Linked DNA regions of Caenorhabditis elegans. The protein of the gene in region 2 purifies or fractionates together with the protein of the main gene of each other region. This does not show direct contact. Each region holds a gene or a part of one and is shown on either strand. Other genes may lie near its edges.

The links.
Region 1: the proteins of ogdh-1 (region 2) and lars-1 fractionate together in Caenorhabditis elegans (co-fractionation; one large-scale study listed by BioGRID). This does not show direct contact.

Annotation. Positions count from the first base shown.
Region 1 is NC_003281.10:4,179,713-4,189,087, forward strand, and holds lars-1 (Leucine--tRNA ligase), read right to left. Parts: upstream 7,090-9,375; 5' UTR 7,073-7,089; coding exon 6,960-7,072; intron 6,910-6,959; coding exon 6,438-6,909; intron 5,980-6,437; coding exon 4,894-5,979; intron 4,469-4,893; coding exon 3,557-4,468; intron 3,288-3,556; coding exon 2,658-3,287; intron 2,401-2,657; coding exon 2,268-2,400; intron 2,215-2,267; coding exon 2,000-2,214; 3' UTR 1,837-1,999; downstream 1-1,836. Other genes in the region: putative mitochondrial carrier C16C10.1, read right to left, coding at 462-622, 675-984, 1,243-1,338, 1,657-1,720; R74.2 (FIP (Fungus-Induced Protein) Related), read left to right, coding at 8,543-8,602, 8,651-9,375.
Region 2 is NC_003282.8:4,696,811-4,706,578, forward strand, and holds ogdh-1 (2-oxoglutarate dehydrogenase, mitochondrial), read right to left. Parts: upstream 7,184-9,768; 5' UTR 7,175-7,183; coding exon 7,067-7,174; intron 6,708-7,066; coding exon 6,460-6,707; intron 6,027-6,459; coding exon 5,735-6,026; intron 5,101-5,734; coding exon 3,799-5,100; intron 3,630-3,798; coding exon 3,486-3,629; intron 2,974-3,485; coding exon 2,635-2,973; intron 1,984-2,634; coding exon 1,537-1,983; intron 722-1,536; coding exon 512-721; 3' UTR 169-511; downstream 1-168. Other genes in the region: spe-51 (AMOP domain-containing protein), read left to right, coding at 1-16. UniProt on the Caenorhabditis elegans protein: The 2-oxoglutarate dehydrogenase complex catalyzes the overall conversion of 2-oxoglutarate to succinyl-CoA and CO(2).

The DNA.
Region 1 (9,375 bases), on a different chromosome or scaffold from region 2:
TTGATTTTTCGAAAAATTTCCTAATTAAGTGGGAATTTTTCTCTTTTTTTCAGAATATGTGTGTTTTTTTTAAAATATAATAAATTTAATTTTCGGATTTTTTGATTTACAATTTAAACTTTTTTTGTGTTTTATTTTGGTTTTTTGAAAATTTCTATATTTTGTTTTTTTTGTTGGTTTTTTGGTTTGTCGAAAATTTCAATTTTTTCAAAAGATTTTTAGAAAATTTCAATTGATTTTAGTTTTTTTTTCTTGGTTTTTTTGTTCTTCGAAAAATTGTTTTTTTTTTTTGATTTTTCGAAAATTTCAATTTTTTCAAAAGATTTTTAGAAAATTTCAATTGATTTTAGTTTTTTTTGTTGGTGTTTTTGTTCTTCGAAAAATTGTTTTTTTTTTTTGATTTTTCGAAAATTTCAATTTTTGTTCCCCCAGCCCTGATACTTACTCCTAGTCCAACCCACCATGATAAGTAAGCCTCTTGCTTTGCATTTTCGTACGAATCATCTCAATGGGACTGACTACCGTAACCGCAATGGTTCTTGCTACAATTCCAGCCACTGCTGCAGCTGACCAATCAGGAGGCGTCCATTTTTCCGGAGAAAATGCCCGTCGGCAACACATTCTGAAAACCATTTTTATTATTTTTGGAATTTCAACAACAAAAAAATTCTAACTTTTTCTTCAACCAAACTGATAGATTATCATAAGTTGTAAAATAGAAAACAGTCGCCGGTAGAGCCATAACCATAGTAGGGGACAATCCACTCCATAATGACCGTATTCCTTCATGTCGTGCAATTTTCACAATTGCATCTGCAGTTCCACGAAAATTACCGGGTCGTTGATACCATTCACAAGGTTTTCTGACTTCACACGATACACAAACGTGCTCCATAAGACCATTGTGATAGTAAAAACATTCTCCTTTTGGAAATGGTCGAGTTTGTTGTTGGAGTCGAATTTTCACGACGTCTAAGGGAGTCACTGCAAAGATAAACTTTTCTGTTTTCGATTTTTCAGGCGTATATACGGTTGCGTGTCTCGAAACGACCGATATTTCGCAGATACCGTATCCCCAATAATTTTTTTGTTGTGTTTTTTCAATGCTTTTCAAATTGTGAAAAAATTATAATTGGGAAATACTTCTGGGTACGGTAGCTGCAAAGTTCCAATCCTTTCGAGACCCGGTACCGTACTTTTCTGTCCAAAATTGAAAAAATCTGCAACTGATATGAAGCTTACTAAAAAGTGATGTAACAATTGCACCAGATGAACTCGCTGATACTTGTTGTAGTACTCCAACGGATAGTTGCTTCTTGCAGCATTCTACTGATTTCGCTGAAAAGATTTTTGTTCGTTATATTTTATTCCAGATATTTTCTTCGAAAAATTTAGTTTTTTAACGCAAAAGTATAGTAATTTATTTTTGTTTTTGTTTGTACACGATCGAAATATTTTCAAATGAGGTACTGTAGCCTCACTCCTTCCAGATTTTGATGTCACATGAATAATAATTAGTAGACTTTAAAATCTCGAGAAAACAATGTGTTACCCACTTTTCATTTGGAAGTAATTCGATCGTGTCGAGACCCGATACCATAATTTTGCGATAAAAATCCCATATTTTCCCGAATGAGTAATAATCAAAATATTCACCACAAGACGAGGAAGGTGCTCCGGAGCAATTTGTCGTTTTACCGCTTTCACATGGTGACGGCATCTGTTACTGGAAATACGGAAACTTCCGATAAAAAATAGAAAATCACATTTAAAATATTAGGTTTGAAATACTTAGATAACAAATCACAGTTTTCAAAAATCTAGTATAATAACAAAAAAACCTTTTCATTCAACTTGGAAACAGGGAGAAAACAGTGAAAGCTGAAATAGGGATTCGGGTACGTATAAATTATGAAAATGAATAGAAACAACAAAACTCAAAAAGTGGGGATATAATATTATTAGAAACAAGAAGAACAAATAATTTTTTAGAAAGAATCTAGTTTTCTGGGACGTTAGCCTTGTACACAATAGTACGCCCAAGATCGAACTTTTCACTTCCAGAAGTCACAGAAATCTTGTTATCAGCCTCGAAATTGAAAATGTCTGCGTCGGACAATTGAATGTTCTCCTCGAATGGATTTCTGTACGAAATCATCTGTCGATCTCCCCAAACCGCGTTCTTGTATCTCCAGAGGCTCACTTCGAATTTCGCTGAAAATATAATAAATTGAATTTATTGTTTTCGGAATAGGGTTTTCTCATACGTTTGATTGCCTTGCTGATGCGTCTCATCTTCCGAATAACCATTGAAACACTGTCTCCATTAACAATTGGTACATCAACATCGAACATTGCATTGCAGATTTGAACATTTCTGGCGACAAGTTTGATTGTTGGCTGAAAATAATTATGATGTCATTATTATTGGTACGCAGAAAAATTCCCCTCTTGAAATTGATATGGAAATGCGCTCCACTGCCGATTGACAACGCCCCGCCTCCTACAGTTGGGTCTCGTAAGGTATTTGGCGTGCTTGAAAACTGCAGAGACGAATTTAAAATGTTTGAATTTACGGTTTTGCCGCCAAATACCTAACGAGACCCATGGTTAGAAGGCGGAGCATGTTCCCATGCCCCTATAATATGTTTCCTTACTCTATTCGGCGTGAAATTCAACATTGGCACCAGCGGTACTGTAGTCTCAACAATATTCGCATCAATTCCCTCCTCATCAGTATGTCGAATAGTAACACGATCCAAATCCAAAGCGTTCATAATAAAATCAATATTCTCGTTGAGAATTGAAGTTTGATCAACTGGACTAGAAGAAGCCAATGCTGAAACACCCTTCTGTTCGAATCTTTCCTTGATCATTTGAACGAATGGCATCGCTTTTTTGGCGAATTTCTTGAGTGATTCTTCTTTTCCAATGAGCTGACTGATTGCTTTATTATCTGGAAGTGCTCCATTATTAGCCTTGGCTTGTTTCTCAAGAATATCAAGAATAGTCTTCTGCCATGGTGGATATTCTTTAGCAACATAGATCACTGCTTCAGTTGGAACTTCTGGAATCTCCTTCAGTGCCTTCTTCTTTGGAGTCATGTAGGTTTTCAGTCGGGCACGGAATTCGGCCAGCGATTCCGTGATGAAACGAGCACCAATGGCGAGCTTCTCATCGACAGGATCGACAGTTGGCCATGGAGCATTTACAATCAAGCCGTCTTTTCCGAGCAATTGCCAGATGTATTCAGCAATATGTGGGCAGATTGGTGATAGGATGAGCATCTAAAATAAAAAACAAATTAAACTTTTAAAGGTGTCGTCTGGCGTTTTTTTTTTGCCCCAAATGACAGAAATCAGTCTTAATCGAACGAAAATAGATTTTAAGAAATTTATAGAAATTTCCTAAACTTTTTTAATATACGGCAATACTGATTTGTTTTTTTTCTCGTTTTTCTAGAATTTTTGTTGCAGAATTTGAAACAATTCTTTCAATTTTTACACTAATAATCGGTATCTGTCATCTTGAGAAAAAAATCTTTCTGAAAATATACCTGAGTTTCAATGAATCTAAAGACAAGCGATTCGCTCATTGGCTCATCAATTCCAGCGCAAAGTTCTCTGTATGTATCTCTAATGGCTTGATATTCGAAGAATCCAGTTTTCAGTGCATCCTTGAAGTTGGTAGCTTCATAATTTTGTTCTGTGGCAGCGATCAGTGAATTCATTTCATTTGCAAAAACTCGATCAGCGAATTTCTTTGCATCTTTTCGGAGAAGTCCGGCATCCCGTTGTTCAATCATTTCCTTGATCCATTCGATCATAGTGAATAGTCTCAGAATAGCTGCATCTGCCATTGCGTACACAAAGTTAGCATCTTCCAAACCATCCCCAGCATCGGCAAGACTCAATCTCATACCATCTGCGCTGAACTTTTCGATGGCTTCTTCCAATGTCATAAAGTTTCCAGTGGATTTCGACATTTTCTCATTGTTCAAGAGCAAATGTCCATTGGCCCGAATTCCTTTTGGCCATTTTGAAGTGTCTGTTGGCCAGATTGCAGCATGATTGAACAGAAGATATGTCAAATGATTTCCGATAAGATCTTTTCCAGATGCTCTCATATCAATTGGATACCAATACATGAATTCTTTCCTCAATGATTTAAGCTTTTCCTCCTCAACCGGCATGGTTTTCGAATCGTAAATTTCTCCGAGGAATACATAACTCCACGAAGCATCTGTCATCTGATCAGCTTTAATTCCAGCAGGTCCGACGACTGATCCATCAAAAGCTCCCTGTTGGAGAAGATGAGCAACTGTATAATAAGCATTGTAGATTGTAGAGTCTGACAGAGATTCGATGAGGTATTGAGTATCCCATGGAAGTTTGGTTCCAAGACCGTAACTTCTGGAGCAAGCATACTCGTGGAGCCAATCGACTGTGGTTTCCAATCCACGGCGGGTCTGAAAATTTTAATTCAGCGGAATAAGAATATACTACATAGACATCTAAAAATGAGAATTTTCGACATATCTTACGCGCAGAGGACGCAGGCAACGAATTACTGTAACTTCTGTTGTCTAATGGGCCGTTATTGCGTCATATTCTTTAAATTAAACTCCAATTTCAACAAAAAGGGTTTTAAAAAAATCGTCCGTAGAGTTGGAGTAATTTGTAAACTATGATATTCTTTGAACAAATTTTTTCGATTTTTAGATAAAATTGTGGTTTTATTTAGAGAATATGCTGCAATAAAAAACCCTTTGATCGGCAAGTTACAGTAACTCGTTGTCTGCGTGGCAAGACCTCTGCGCGTAAGAGATGGCGAAGATTCTTATTTTTAGACGTCTACATAATATTTTTTCAAAAATAATTTAAAAAAATATACCTCATCATTGAAAGTTCTGAGTGGCTCAAGAACCTTCTTTGCAGCAGCCTTCCATTCAGCCTCTCCATAATTCAAATACCATTGATCACACAACGCAACGACGCACTCATCTCCAGATCTGCTCATCACCTTCTTCTCAGGCTCCACATATTTCGTGGCAAGACCTTCAGCTGTCAAATCATCTTGAATAACTTTCTTGACGTCGGCTGTCTTCTTTCCAGCATACTTTCCGACGAGCATAACTCCATCGTAGAATCCTTTCAAATAAACTTCTTTCTTCGCCTCTTCCAGTTTGTCCTTCTCATTTTGAGACTCAATTTTCAGCCTTGAGCACATTTCAACTGCAGCCAAATCCCCAAGTCCTTCGATTTTAATAATTGGAACTGGTTCGAATGGAAGAACCATCTCATCAGTCAATCCATATTTTTCTCTCAATGGCTTCTTCTTCTTGAGATCCGACAAAGCTGCAAAATCATCTGGAGAGTCTGATGGTACACTTGTAACAACACCAGTTCCCTTATCATCCTTGATAGTCAACATTGGCAATGCATAAACTCTTTCGTATTTTGCGAGAGGCGCAGAGAGTGGAGCTCCGAGAATCTTGCTTCCAGCGATTTTCTCGAGTCCCAGGACATAGTTGACTTTACCATTTTCCTTAGTCAATCCTTGATATGACATGATTCTAGCAGATCTGGCAGTTGCCACAAATACTTGTTTCTCGTTTTCCGTCGCATAAAACACGGAATATTGAATATCTGGATGGAGATAACAATTCGTTTGTCCGTACATTGTTTCAGGTCTCAAAGTAGCCGCAACGAGATAAATATCCTCTTTGATATGGCTCAAAGCTTGAGGTTTTGGATCAAGAACTTTCAGTTTAATAAGAGTATATTCTTGTGGACCAACACCTTCTCCACTGGCACGATCGTGATCCATGCATGGTTGACCGTCTTTCGGTGAATAAATTGTATATCTCTTTCCGAAATCGATCTTCTTAGCTGCACGAAGAAGGTTGAACTGCCAACGGACGAATGAGTCGAAGTATGGATTCACGTCGGTGGTGATGAAGGAACGACGCCAATCAGCCTGAAAAATGGCAATTTTTAATTTAATAATTTCGAAATGTTTCTTTTTTAATTTTGTGATAAGTTAAATTTTTTTGAGAATTATATTATTATTAAAATGGAGAAGCAAAAATGAGGAAGTAAGGCATTTTGTTCCAATATTCATTAAATACAATTCAGGGATATAATATAGAAAAATATTTCATTTATCTGAAAATAGCTTTGATTAAGGTTGAAAAATTGGAAAAGTGCCAAAAAAATCGCCGGTAAAAACCGACCAATTATCGAAATTTTTTTACAGGTTATTTTCAACTTTTAATCACTAAAATAAAAACTATTTTCAGATAAATCAAATGTTTTTTTTCCAAATTCTATCACTAAATTTTAATCAAAAATATTGGAAAAACATAATAATTTAGTACTATTTTTACAGAACTCACTTTCAACACTTTAAGATGATTTCAACACTTTAAATCTTACCTTTAGTCCCATTTTCTTAAGATCAGCAATGCAATGTGGTGGGAAATAATATAGCCAATGATTTGGATCCGAGAATTCCTTAATTTCCTCATCACACAATCCCAGAGACTTCATAATTTGCCATTGGTATTTTGCATTTCCAGTTTTTGCCACCAATTTACTCTTCTTTCCTTTACTCTTATCCTTGATAATCTCATCGACAGCCGAAACTTCTTCTTTAACTTCCTCGACAACATCTTCCGGGAAATTTGGTGGATATCCGAAATCTTGCATTTCTCTTTTCAATTTATCTGCACATGCTTTAATTGGCATTCCAGTACAATGAAATCCGAATGGAAAGAGCACTTCTTTGCCTTGAAGACGTTGGAAACCGGCGGCAAATTCACATTTTGAAGCTGAGAATGTGTGTCCCAAATGAAGACGTCCATTCATGTATGGGAAGGGAAACGTGACGAGGTACTTTGGTTTTCCACTGAAATTTTTTAAATTGAAAATAATTCAAAATTTTCAGAAAAAACTCACTCATCCCTAGCATCCGCCTCGAAAGCCTTCTTGCTCTCCCACAGCTCCTGAATGCTCTTTTCAATTTCTTGAAGTTGAGCAACCTTCTTCCGCTCCTTATTGATTTTCGACATTGTCGATATTTGTTACCCTGATATTTAAAAATAATTAAAACCTTTAAAAAATTCTTTTAAGCAATAGATTACATCAGAAAACACAAAATGATGAAATTTACTTGGTTTCTATTTGAAAAAAATCAATAAGTGATTAGAAAGCAAACAAGTTTGTGGAAAAAAATCGATATTGAGATTTAATTGTCGATAAAAAAGTTCAAATTTTAAAGGGAACAACTTAAAATAGGCCCATTTTCTACCGTTCTAAAAATCCTGCATTATCATGGCCTAGTTTTGCAATGGCATCGACCGCGGCCACGTCAACTTTCCCAACTTTTCATAGGGGTTTCAATCACTCGGAGAAGGCGATAAAATAATACAATATTATAAAAAATGAAGAAAAATGTACTTTTCGAGTTCTCGAACAATAATTTACCAATTTATAGAAATACAATTAGTGATTTTTTCGGAGCAACAACAGAAATTGGATTTTTTCTACAATTATTAGTAATCTATAACAGGCTAAAGGTACATTAAAATAGTTTATAATAAATTTAATTATCTTTAAATTTTTTGGTATATAAAAATTCTACAACTGCTACAACATGAAACATATTGAAAAGGAATTTTTGCAATATTTCATATTCGACTGATTTCAGGAATAGGTCACACTGCACCATATTACTTGGAATTAAATTCGTAAATGCTCCGTTTTGCTCTTAACGAATCAAGTACGGTTTCTACTTTTGAATGGAATTTTGCAAAATATACTTAGTTCATAAAATTATTCCTTTTCCATATCCAATGAAGGCCAATTTATCAAGTTGGACACACACATTGGTCAGATTACAACAAGTGGGATTACACTCAACATCACTTTCTCCTTGCTATAAATACCGGCTGACAGACTTTAATAGTGACTTGAGATAGGTTCTTCGCTGGACGAACTTGACTCGATTTGTATTAATTCATCTAAATTTCTCAAAGCAGAATGTTCCGAAATCTAGATTTTAGTAAAATAGCCATATTTAACTAAATATGTTTCCATAAATCTTCTGAAATTCTCCCAATTTTTAATTGTTTTTTAACCAAAATTTTAATACCAAAAAATTTAAACATCTTCTTAATAGAAGGTACACAATAGATCATATATTTTCATAGTGATACTACTGATTAACCCAGGCAAAACATGATATATCCTAATTCGCAATATACAAAAAAAAACATTCCTTATCTCCGAAAATTTCCAGTTCTAATTTCACTTATTGCGCAACCATGGACGTCCGTCGTCTTCATCACTTTCTCACCTTGTTGTATATCACTACGCAACAAACTTATATAATTTTACCCGATATGCCAAGAACCAGATCTGTTTGAGGCAGATGATGTCCAGCTATTTGAAGGTTTTGTTACACTTCTAGTCAACCCGATTTTGGGAGTATTTAACGACGATGGAGATTGACCGATTTTAACAATCTTACACACTTCTAGATGAGGAGATCTATTATTTTTCTAGCGGCGATTTGTGGGGTCACGTTGGCTGAAAGAAAGGTGAGTTACTTTGGACAATTCGTACCTACGAATATGGATAATTTTTAGGCAAGACAGGATAATGTTGGTGACGATTATTCTGATTTTTCATCTCAACCGGTCAAGAATGCTGGTGCCAACCATAATTTGAAACAAGTAACCTACTCAACAATCGCACCGAAATTCGATATTCCAACTCGTGCACCACTTTTGAACCCAAATCCGATTGGACGCAATCAGAATCCCGTTCAAACTACCACAAAGAGGCCAGTTGTCGCCTATAGAAGAGGGTATTTCTTCCAGCATTACCCATGGGATAGGCTTCCAAGAAGATATCTTCTTCGTCCAGGAATGACATATGTATATCCACCACAGTACACATTCGCAACCTACCGTTATCCACATCTGCCATACACCGACCACTACAGTATCTACCGTACTCATCCAGGAATCGGTTCCGGCTGTGGAGGAGGTGGGTGTGGTGGCGGATATCCACAGGGTTACGGTAGCTATGCTGGTTATGGAAACAGTGGAGGATGTGGAGGTGGAAGTGGCACCGGATGCGGGGGTTATAACGATGATGAAGACGAGGATTCATATGAAGACAGCGATGAGGAGAATGGAAAGAGTGGAGAAGCAAAGATCAACAAGAAGGATCCATTGGAAGATTTGGAGCTGGAAGATTTGGAAAAACTATCAAAATCTGATGACACAAAATCTGGAACTTCTGAGGCAGTCACTTCTGATGATGTTGATGTTGAACCAACTGAGATTAAAAAATCAAAGTTAGGAGA
Region 2 (9,768 bases):
AGTTGATTATTGTTGAAAAGGACAGTATTTGAACTTATTCTTTGGTTTCTAAATAAAACTTATGTCACAAAAAAGTAAACTTATGTCAAAAAAAAGTTACTTTAAAATTATTCTACGCAAGTGGACTACTATTGAGCACGAATAAATATGTATGATGAATAAAAATGTGTTGAGGAAAATACGTTCATATCAAAAAATTTAGCTCTCTTCACTGGAAAATGAGGAAGAGAGAGCATGCATATTAAAATTGCGTGTGGGAAAATGATAATGACAGAAGAAAAAAACGGGGAGGCACAAAGAGGACGGGGACTCGGGCGGCGGATGAGATTAAACCTAAAACTTCACACTACCCTATATACTAATCAATGAAAAAACATCAATAAAGCCTGTGAGAATTCGAGAGAAAAGAGTACAAGGACGAGCAGAAAAGTAAAAAAGGAGTAAAACAGAACTGGGGACACAGGAAAAAAGAGCAAAAAATATCAAAAAAAATCTGTCAATTCGTAGAGATTTAGGCCTTGAATCCTTCCAATTTCGATTTTGGAACTCCAAACACTTTGCTCATCATCTCCTTTTGTTCTTGCATGTGAGTGAATTTGTTTCCAGTAGCTGGTGATGAGGATGGAAGACGTCCAGCGTATTTCGTGGCGCGACCGTCAATCGAGAGAAGTGAGTTGATGCGTGGTTGCACGAATGACCAGGCTCCCATGTTCTTGTGCTCCTGGAAAATTTTCATGTTGGAAATATTGTATTTCGATAGGGTCTATATTTTAGATTTTTCAATTTTTTACAATTTTAAAAATTACAGCAAAAATATTACACAGATGCGAAATGTTAAGATTTTCGCACCAAAAATAATATTCCAGGTCTCGACACGGCCGATTTATCAATGTGATATGTATGATATGCGCCTTTAAAGAGTACCGTAGTTTCAAACGTTTCTTCTGCGGAATTTTCATCGATTTCTTAGTTTTTCAACTGTTTCGGTTATAAACTACAGCACCCGTTCATAAGCGCACATCTTTTTTAGCTTTTAACAAAAAATTGTCGTGTCGAGACCATGTATCGTATTTTTTTAATGCAAAAATTACGACAAATTCACGCATTGGGATATTCTTTTCGTCTCATTTCAGCCGATTTCGAGGAAACGGAGACATCATCAAAGCAAATTCCGAGAAACAAACGAGTTTGGAACTACAGTACTCCATAAAGGCGCACACACTTTATTGCAATTAAAAAAATCGGTCGTGTCGGGACCGGGAACAATATATTTTTGGGATCAAAGCTATAAATCCGTAAATTTTCTGTGAAAATCTATAAAATTTGCAAATTTTAACGTCGGAGAAAAATCGAAAAATCGTCTTCTAGAGACTCCCAGAACCGAAAATAGGAAAAAAAAATTTAACTTTTCGTGGCGAGACACAAATATTGGCGAGTCGAAATTTCAGAAAACTAAGTTACAAAGCAAATTTTCTATTTTTCTAAATTTAAATCAGCACAATTTGCAAAAGTTTTCAATTTTCTAAAATTTCATACCTCTTGAGCCCACAAAATCTCGGCTCCTTGATACTTTCTGCACTCTTGTTGCACCAAATCATATGGGAACGGTGAGAGCTGCTCAACTCTGACTAGTGCAACATCATTCTCCTTTCCAACGTGCTTACGGGCGGCGACCATATCGTAGTACACTTTTCCAGTACAGAAGACAACTCGCTTCACGTCTGGTGGATTCTGAGATGGAGCACCAGTTTCTGGAATAACTCTTTGGAAATTGGATCCAGATTGGAAGTCTTCGACTGGAGAACGAGCCATCGGGTGACGGAGAAGAGATTTTGGTGAGAAGACGACTGCCGGTTTACGGAATGGCATTGTTACTTGACGGCGGAGAAGATGATAGATGTTGGCTGGTGTTGTGCAGTTGGCAACGATCCAATTGGTATCGTGCAGTTGTTGAGCTTCAAATGTTCCTTCGAACGCGATTTTCTGAAAAATTCGAATATTTTCATAGTTTTTTTAAAATTAAGTATATATAAGTATCCAATATCGAGAAAAATGCATTAACCATAAAATTCAATTTTTTTTCTTCTAAAAAGAATAAAAATTGCCAAAATTTAAACTTTTTTTTTGCGAAATATCGAAAAATAGACATAGAACAAAGAAACTTTTCAATTTTCAATTTAAATTTTTTAAAAATCAAAAAACCTTTCGAGTTAGATTTATCATTTTTCTCCTACTTCGGGGAATTGAAAGTATAAAAAATTAAAAAATTTTCAATTTTGGCACAATTTCGTTCAAAAAAATGAAATGAAATTGAACTTCAGGAGTACGAAAAAAAAAAACGAAAAATATTTTTATTTTTAATTTTGAAAATAGCTATGCAGGTTCACAAAAAATAGTTTGCTTCTTTCAAAATTACAAAAAAAAAGTGTTTCTAGTTTTTTTTTCGTGCTCCTGAAATTTAATTCCGTTTCCTTTTTTTTAGACAAAATCGTGTCAAAATTGAAAATGTCTTAATTTTTCGCCAAAAATAGGAGAAAAACTATGAAGCATAATTTTTTTTCAACAAAATATTTGAATTTCGTTTCAAAAAATGCAGTTTTTTCCTTTTTTCCGATCCATCAATCGGCAGGCTACCTCAAGATCAATCTCATCGTCTTCATTGCACATTTGCAAGAATCTTTCCGGTCGAGCCGACGAGTGTTCTGGTCCCATTCCTTCGTATCCATGAGGCAGAAGCATCACCAATCCAGATTGACGAATCCATTTCGACTGTCCTGACGAGATGAATTGATCAATGATGCATTGAGCTGTGTTGGAGAAATCTCCGAATTGAGCTTCCCAAATGACAAGAGAGTTCGGATCGACCATCGAATAACCGAGTTCGAATCCAAGAACAGCGTACTCTGAGAGGGATGAATTGCAGACTGTGTATTCTCCTTGTCCTTCAGATAGATCATTCAGTGGGTTGTAGATCTGGAAAAATAAATGTTTTTGGAATTGACTTCAAAATTCTTAAGAATTTTTGGGCAAAAAATTATTCATTTCAAACTATTTTTAAATTCTAAATGGCCAATTTATCGTTTTTTTCAATAAAAAAAAATACATGGATTTTCACATGAAACACTAGAAGTAATCGATTAATAGGTAATTTTGGAATGTAGTCGATTGCGCCATGTTGTTCCAAAAATTTTTTAAATTCTAAATTAGTGACAAAATATGGATATTTGTTATTTCCAGACAAATCAAGTGATTTTCCATATTTTCACGCTAGTTTTCAATGAAAAAAGTTGGAACAACATGGTGCAATCGACTATTTTGTAGAATTGCCGCCCATCCCTGATTTAACATTCAAAATGTCAAATTAATTGCTTATTTCTAGTTTTTTTTACAGCGAAAATCCATGTGTTATGATCTGAAAACCTAAAAAAAATATAATAGATTGGCCATTTAGAATCCACAAACCGACAAAGTTATTTTTCCAGTACCTTCTGATCAACTTTTTGATCGTGAAGAACATGATGTCGATGTGAGAATGTTCCTCTCTGAACATCTTGTCCACTCAATCGTACGTGAATTCCTTCTTTCAAAAGTGATCCGAACGCGAGAGCCTCTCCGCAAGCCCAATCAAGCTGAAATTATTAATTTTTTTTTTAAATTTTGAAAATTTTCGGGTTTTCTCTTCAAAATTCTAATGAAAATTGGAAAAAAAATGCGCAAAATATGGATTTTATTAGATTTTGATTGATTGATTTTCTTGATTTTAAGCCTAATTTAGCACATTTTTTGCTCAAATCTTACCGAGTTATCCTTGAGCATTTGCTGCCGCCCCTTCAGTGTTCTCTCCAAACCACGATGAAGATTAAAACCTTCTGGATACTGCGAGAATTTTCCAATAATCTGTTCAATGTTCTCCTGTTCGATTCCGGTTGATGGTAGCTTGAGTGGATCACGCTTCTTGAAGAAATCATCCCATGGAGAATCGAGCCAATCTCTGTTACGAACATATGTCACCTTCTGCGCATTCTCATAAGCATCCTCGAGAATCGACCCGTACTTTGTGAGTTCTTCCTTAACATATTGCTCATTTGCAACTCCTTCGTTGAGAATCTTCTCCTGATACTTTTCCAGTGCTGTCTTCGTTTGCTTGATTCGTTGGTACATGAGTGGTTGAGTGAACATCGGCTCGTCGAGCTCATTGTGTCCGTGACGCCGGTAACAAACAAGATCCACGATAACGTCCTTCTTGAAAGTCTTCCTCCAATCGGCGGCGACATTGCACACGTGCATTACAGCCTCCGGATCGTCGACGTTCACGTGGAAGATCGGGCATCCGACGACACGACCAACATCTGTACAATATGGAGACGAGCGAGAAGATCTTGGATCGGTAGTGAATCCGATTTGATTGTTCACAACGATGTGGATGGCTCCGTGAGTCGTGTAACTCGGCAGATCATCCAAATTGAACGTCTCGAGCACAACACCTTGACCGGCGAACGCAGCATCTCCGTGAAGAAGGATAGCCATCGTCCGATCGCACTTCTCATCTCCAGCATAGAAAGCTTCAGCTCGGACCTTTCCCATCACAACTGGATCGACAGCTTCCAAGTGAGATGGATTAGCGACGACGGCGATTTTAACGTTCTTCTGTGATTGTCTGTTCAATCGTTCGATGCAGACTCCCAAATGGTACTTAACATCTCCGGATCCTTCATCAGCAGGCTCGAGAGTCGAGAATTGCGACAGAATCGTGGCCAGTGGCTGACGGCAAACGTTGGCAAGCACATTGAGCCTTCCACGATGTGGCATTCCAATGACGAATGAGTCGACTCCAAGTGTCGAAGATGAGTCGATGACTTGCTTCATTGCCGGAATTAGAACTTCGCACCCCTCAAGACCGAATCTCTTCTCACTTGGCCATTTTTTGGCGAGGAACTCTTCGAACTTTGTAGACCGGATCAGACGTTTGAACAGCACCTTCTTCTGATCGTGAGAGAGCTCGGTGACACGTGGAGCTTCGAATCGTCGGCGGATCCAATCTTGTTGCTCGAGATTGTTCAAATGCATATATTCGACTCCGGTGCTGGTGCAATAGATATCCTGGAAATTTTAGATTTTATATTTTTGATTTTTGAGCCAGTTTGGTATGTTTTTCAATACTTTTTTCAAAATTCAGTGACTTTGTATGAAAATAACTTTTAATTCGATTGGAAAAACGGTCCAAAATCGCCTGAAATGGCGATTTTTGAGAACTTTTTCCATTTTTCCAACAGAGGCCCCACGAAAAGGGGAGCAGAACGAAAAGGGGATCTGCAAAAAGGGGATCTGCGAAAAGGGGAGATACGAAAAGGGGAGATACGAAAAGGGGATCTGGCACTGTGCCAAACGCTATTTTTCTCGAAGAAAACGATACAACGATGCTCCGATGTTACGCGTCGCGTGTTGTTAAGCGTATCTTCTAGAAGAAAATTTCAAAAATCAACGTGCGTTGCGTGAGAAAAATTGCGTTTTGTGCGTTTGGCACAGTGCCAGCTCCCCTTTTCGTTGCTCCCCTTTTCGTATCTCCCCTTTTCGTATCTCCCCTTTTCGCAGATCCCCTTTTTGCAGATCCCCTTTTCGTTCTGCTCCCCTTTTCGTGGGGCCTCTTCCAACAGAAATAAACGTTATTTTCAGATAAATCCACTAAATTTTAATGAAAAATATAGGCTCATTTTGCACAATTCCTTGATCGCACCTTAAGTCTCTGAAGAATTTCTCTCAACGTCAAGCTCTTCTTTTCGCTGATAAAAGTGGTGGGCGGAAGAAGGAATTCTCGGTCCAAATCACGTTCTCCAAGTCCGTAGAACGAGAGTTCAAGCTCCGGTGGAATCGTGTCATCCAAATCGGCACTGTTTATTCCGAGTGGATCGAGATCTGCGATATTGTGACCACGAGTCTGATAACTGCGGATGAGGAGCTGGATTTTCAAGTGATCCGAGATCGATTGAACAGATGCATTCGTATCGAGGCGAGTGGCCGGGGCAGATCTGGAACAGTTTTCGAGATTAAAATTAGAAAATTTACGGTGAATTTTATATTTTTTCTAATAAAATTTTTAAAGAACGCAAAAAACGAAGCTTTTCACACTAGTTTCGGCATTTATTGAATGTATCGAATTTGCAATTTTTTCTCGCTACAGTAATCTTAAAGGCGCACTGGGCAAATTTTTTTGCTTAAAACTACCAATTTTCTAATGAGACTTTATTAAAAATCTCCAAAAAACTTTCATGATGATTCAAAATTTCAAAAAAAAGTTGTTTTGATAAAAACTGTTCACGGGAGCCTTTGAGATTACTGTAGTGAATATTCTGAAATTTTCCCTTTGAAAAACAGTTTTTTCAAAGAAAAATTCCAAGGTTGTTGACTTCAATTCTCGTTTAGATGTTTATCATCATCACAATCAGAACAAAAAAAACGAACGAGGTCGTGACTTGAGCAGCTGCTGGTGAAACTCCAAGAGCTCCAGCGTAGGCAGTTGCTGGTGGAGCCTGAAAAGCTTGTCCTGGTCCGGCTCCGGCCTCGACATTGCGGAAGTACGCATCCCATGAAGTGTGTACTGATGATGGATCCTGAAGCCAAGCTTCGTACATTTGCTCAATGTAGATGGATGAGGATCCATTTAGGAATGGTTCATGCTTGACGGCGGCGGCCACTGACTGATTGCGGTGCTGGAAAATTTTGGAATTAATATGATATCCAGGCGTGAAATTTTTACTCAAAATACGGTACCTAGGGTCTCACCACGACAAATTTCTGTTAAATGCGAAAATGTGTGCGCCTTTAAAGAGTACTGTAATTTAAAAATGAGGGATTTCAATCGATTTTTTATATTTCACCGAAAAAATATTTTGAAAAATCGATGAATATTTCACATTTAACGCAAGTCGGACTTTTCGCATTTAATTAAAGAAAACTTTCCTGTCGAGACTTTAGATACCTTATTTTTGGAGCACAAACCGGGAAAAATTGTTTTGAAATACTCTTCTCAAATTAATTTAACCAATTTTTTCGAATTTTTTGTCACTACCTGAACAAGTGTCGAAGCAGAAATGTGGCTCTTTCCGGATGAAGCATTTCTGATGGCATTGATGCGACTGGGGGACGCAAGACGACATATAAGACTCGCCCGATGCATGGTTGGGGGGCCAAGTTTCCCGGGTTACTGAAGAAACAAGAAAATAATAAAACTGTTTTCTTTTTTTTAAATCAATGATCAAAAAATAGTGTTTAGAAAAAGGAAAGTCACGCGGAAAATGACATCAACATTTTTTTTTGACGGCGTTGAATTGGAGGGTAAATATGTTTTAACGATGATGATTAACGGTTTCGGATATTTTGAATTTATAAACCCAAAATGTGCTCAAATGAACGAATTTTGTTAATGGCAGTTCAAAATTTCGAAAATTTCAAGCTATGTTTAGCTAAGATCTTAAATTTTGCAAGAAAAAAATATCTGTTAGTCATTTTTTGCATTATTTTGAACAGAGACCACTAATCACAATTCTGTCTTATCACACCGAAAAATGTGGAAAAAGATGGAAATTTTGCATACGGAGCTTTCACTATCACTTAAATAATTACCTTCTGTTTGATAGACGTCTCAGGAATGAAAATGAAAAGTTTGGGAAAAAATGAGAGAAATTTGATTTGGACGGACGAATTTTTTTAAAAATTTTTTAATTCATTTAATTTTTTAATATTTATTTAAATATGATTTTAGTGCATTTCGTTCTGAATTTTTTAGTGAGGACTAAATACAATGAACTCAAAAAACTGAATTTCATAACGAGACTTTAAAAAATCGCTCAAAAAATAAATGACGGTTTTTGCTTAAAAATGTTTTGTTAGCTAAAAACCCACAACTTCGTCATTTTTTCTGTGTCCAAATTAGATTCAAATGCAACTAAATTATCGAAAACCCGTGAGAAAAACAATCCAAATATGCAGAAAATAGGACAATAATCAAATTAAAATCACTTTCTGAATTCTGCGAAACGGAAAAGGTGGCGAAATTGGAGGTTTTAGATTTAAAAAAAACCAAGCTATATTCAAGAATTTTTTAACCTCCATAAAAGTTTCGTTCTGAAATTCAGCTTTTTTGGGGCCATAAAACAACAATTTTGATCTGTTAGTCATCATTTAACATCACAAAATGTTCTTTTTTTCATCACCACTTAAATCGAAAGTATTTCCGAAGAACTGGTTTTTGTTTTGCTTTTATTGGGCGAAAACCTATAAACAAAAAAAAACAAGAGGATAACTTTCCGTTGTGCAAAATAAAGCTGTCAAAAAAGAAGAAGCTGCATAAGGAAATTGAGGAGCAGACACAACAAATTGAGAGTATTCAAAAAAAACGAAGAGAGGAGAGAAAAAGAGTGGACATACACACCGCCCGTGTTCAAGATCATCTCATCATCGAACGATCCACAGGAGGGTGATTAAGCACAGAACTTCACACAGTTCGCCCGGGGGTTTACCCCTTCTCTCATGCCTCTCGGCGTCTCGTCAATGTTTCATAACACTCTCACGGGCGGCTCGCTTTCGAGGGGCGCCCAGCAGCACCAATCGGCCAAAGACAGAGAGAGAGAGAGATAGAGAGATGGAGGGAAAAAGAGAGAAAAAACCAGAGAATATGACGCATTTCGGTGGAGGAGTAGGAGGAGTAGGAGAAAAAGAAACTGATGAACACAGGCTGCGCGGATACGCGTATATACACACATATACAAACTACTTTTGTATTAGAAATATGTTCTACTTATGAAGCATCACAGAACCTACAAAAATATCAGTTTGATTCTTTAATTTGAAGATGAAGTAAAATGATTGGAAATTTGGTTTTAAAAATTTCAAGAACATCTCAAAAAATGGTGTCATCGGAGAATGTTTCGACTTTTCTGGAATATTGAAAATCTAATTTTTTTTAGTTAATTAACATTAAAATACAATTTTTAACGAAGTTTGTTTGAATTGATAAAAAGAAAAACACTAAGATAACATATGTATTCGTCCAAAAAATGTTAAGATATTTTTTTGAAAAATCTGAATCATTAGATTTCAGTGAAAAATTGAAAAATCGACACCCTCAGACCCAAATTCAGAAAAATCACGATAGAGAAACAAAAAAAAACCGGAATTATGGAAAATCCAAATTCTTTTTGATTTTTCAATTTTGGTTAAATTCTCGTCAATGTGAGATATTCAACAAATCAGAGATTTGCGCCGCCCACTTTTCCACTAATCAGAGGGTTGAAGTAGCCGGAGCGAATCGCTGATTGGTCCCAGCTCTCACTTTCGGAGGGAATTCAAGCAGGAGTACCAAGTATTTTTTAAACATTCGCTTGAAAAAAAAGAATCTTTCATTCTTTACCGATTTTTTTCGTTTTTCTTTTGTGTATTTTCTGAATTTAAGTCAATTTTCGATTTTTTTGGAGCCAAATTTTCCAATCACGTAGCTTCAGCTTTTAAAATAATTTTGTAGATCATTTTTTTCGCATATTTTGGTACAATTACAGTCTATAGGCGCACGAATTTCCAATTTTTGTGCACCTATCGACTGAAAATGTACCAAAATCTGGAAAAAAAATGCGGCAGTAACTTCTAAAATGTGCAAAATAGAGAAGGCATGGTTTTTTTTTAAATATGACTCGAATTTTTTAAATTTAATTTCAAAAAGAATTTGAGAAAAAGGAAAATTAACTAAAATTCCCGTTTTCATTAGCAGAATTTTTG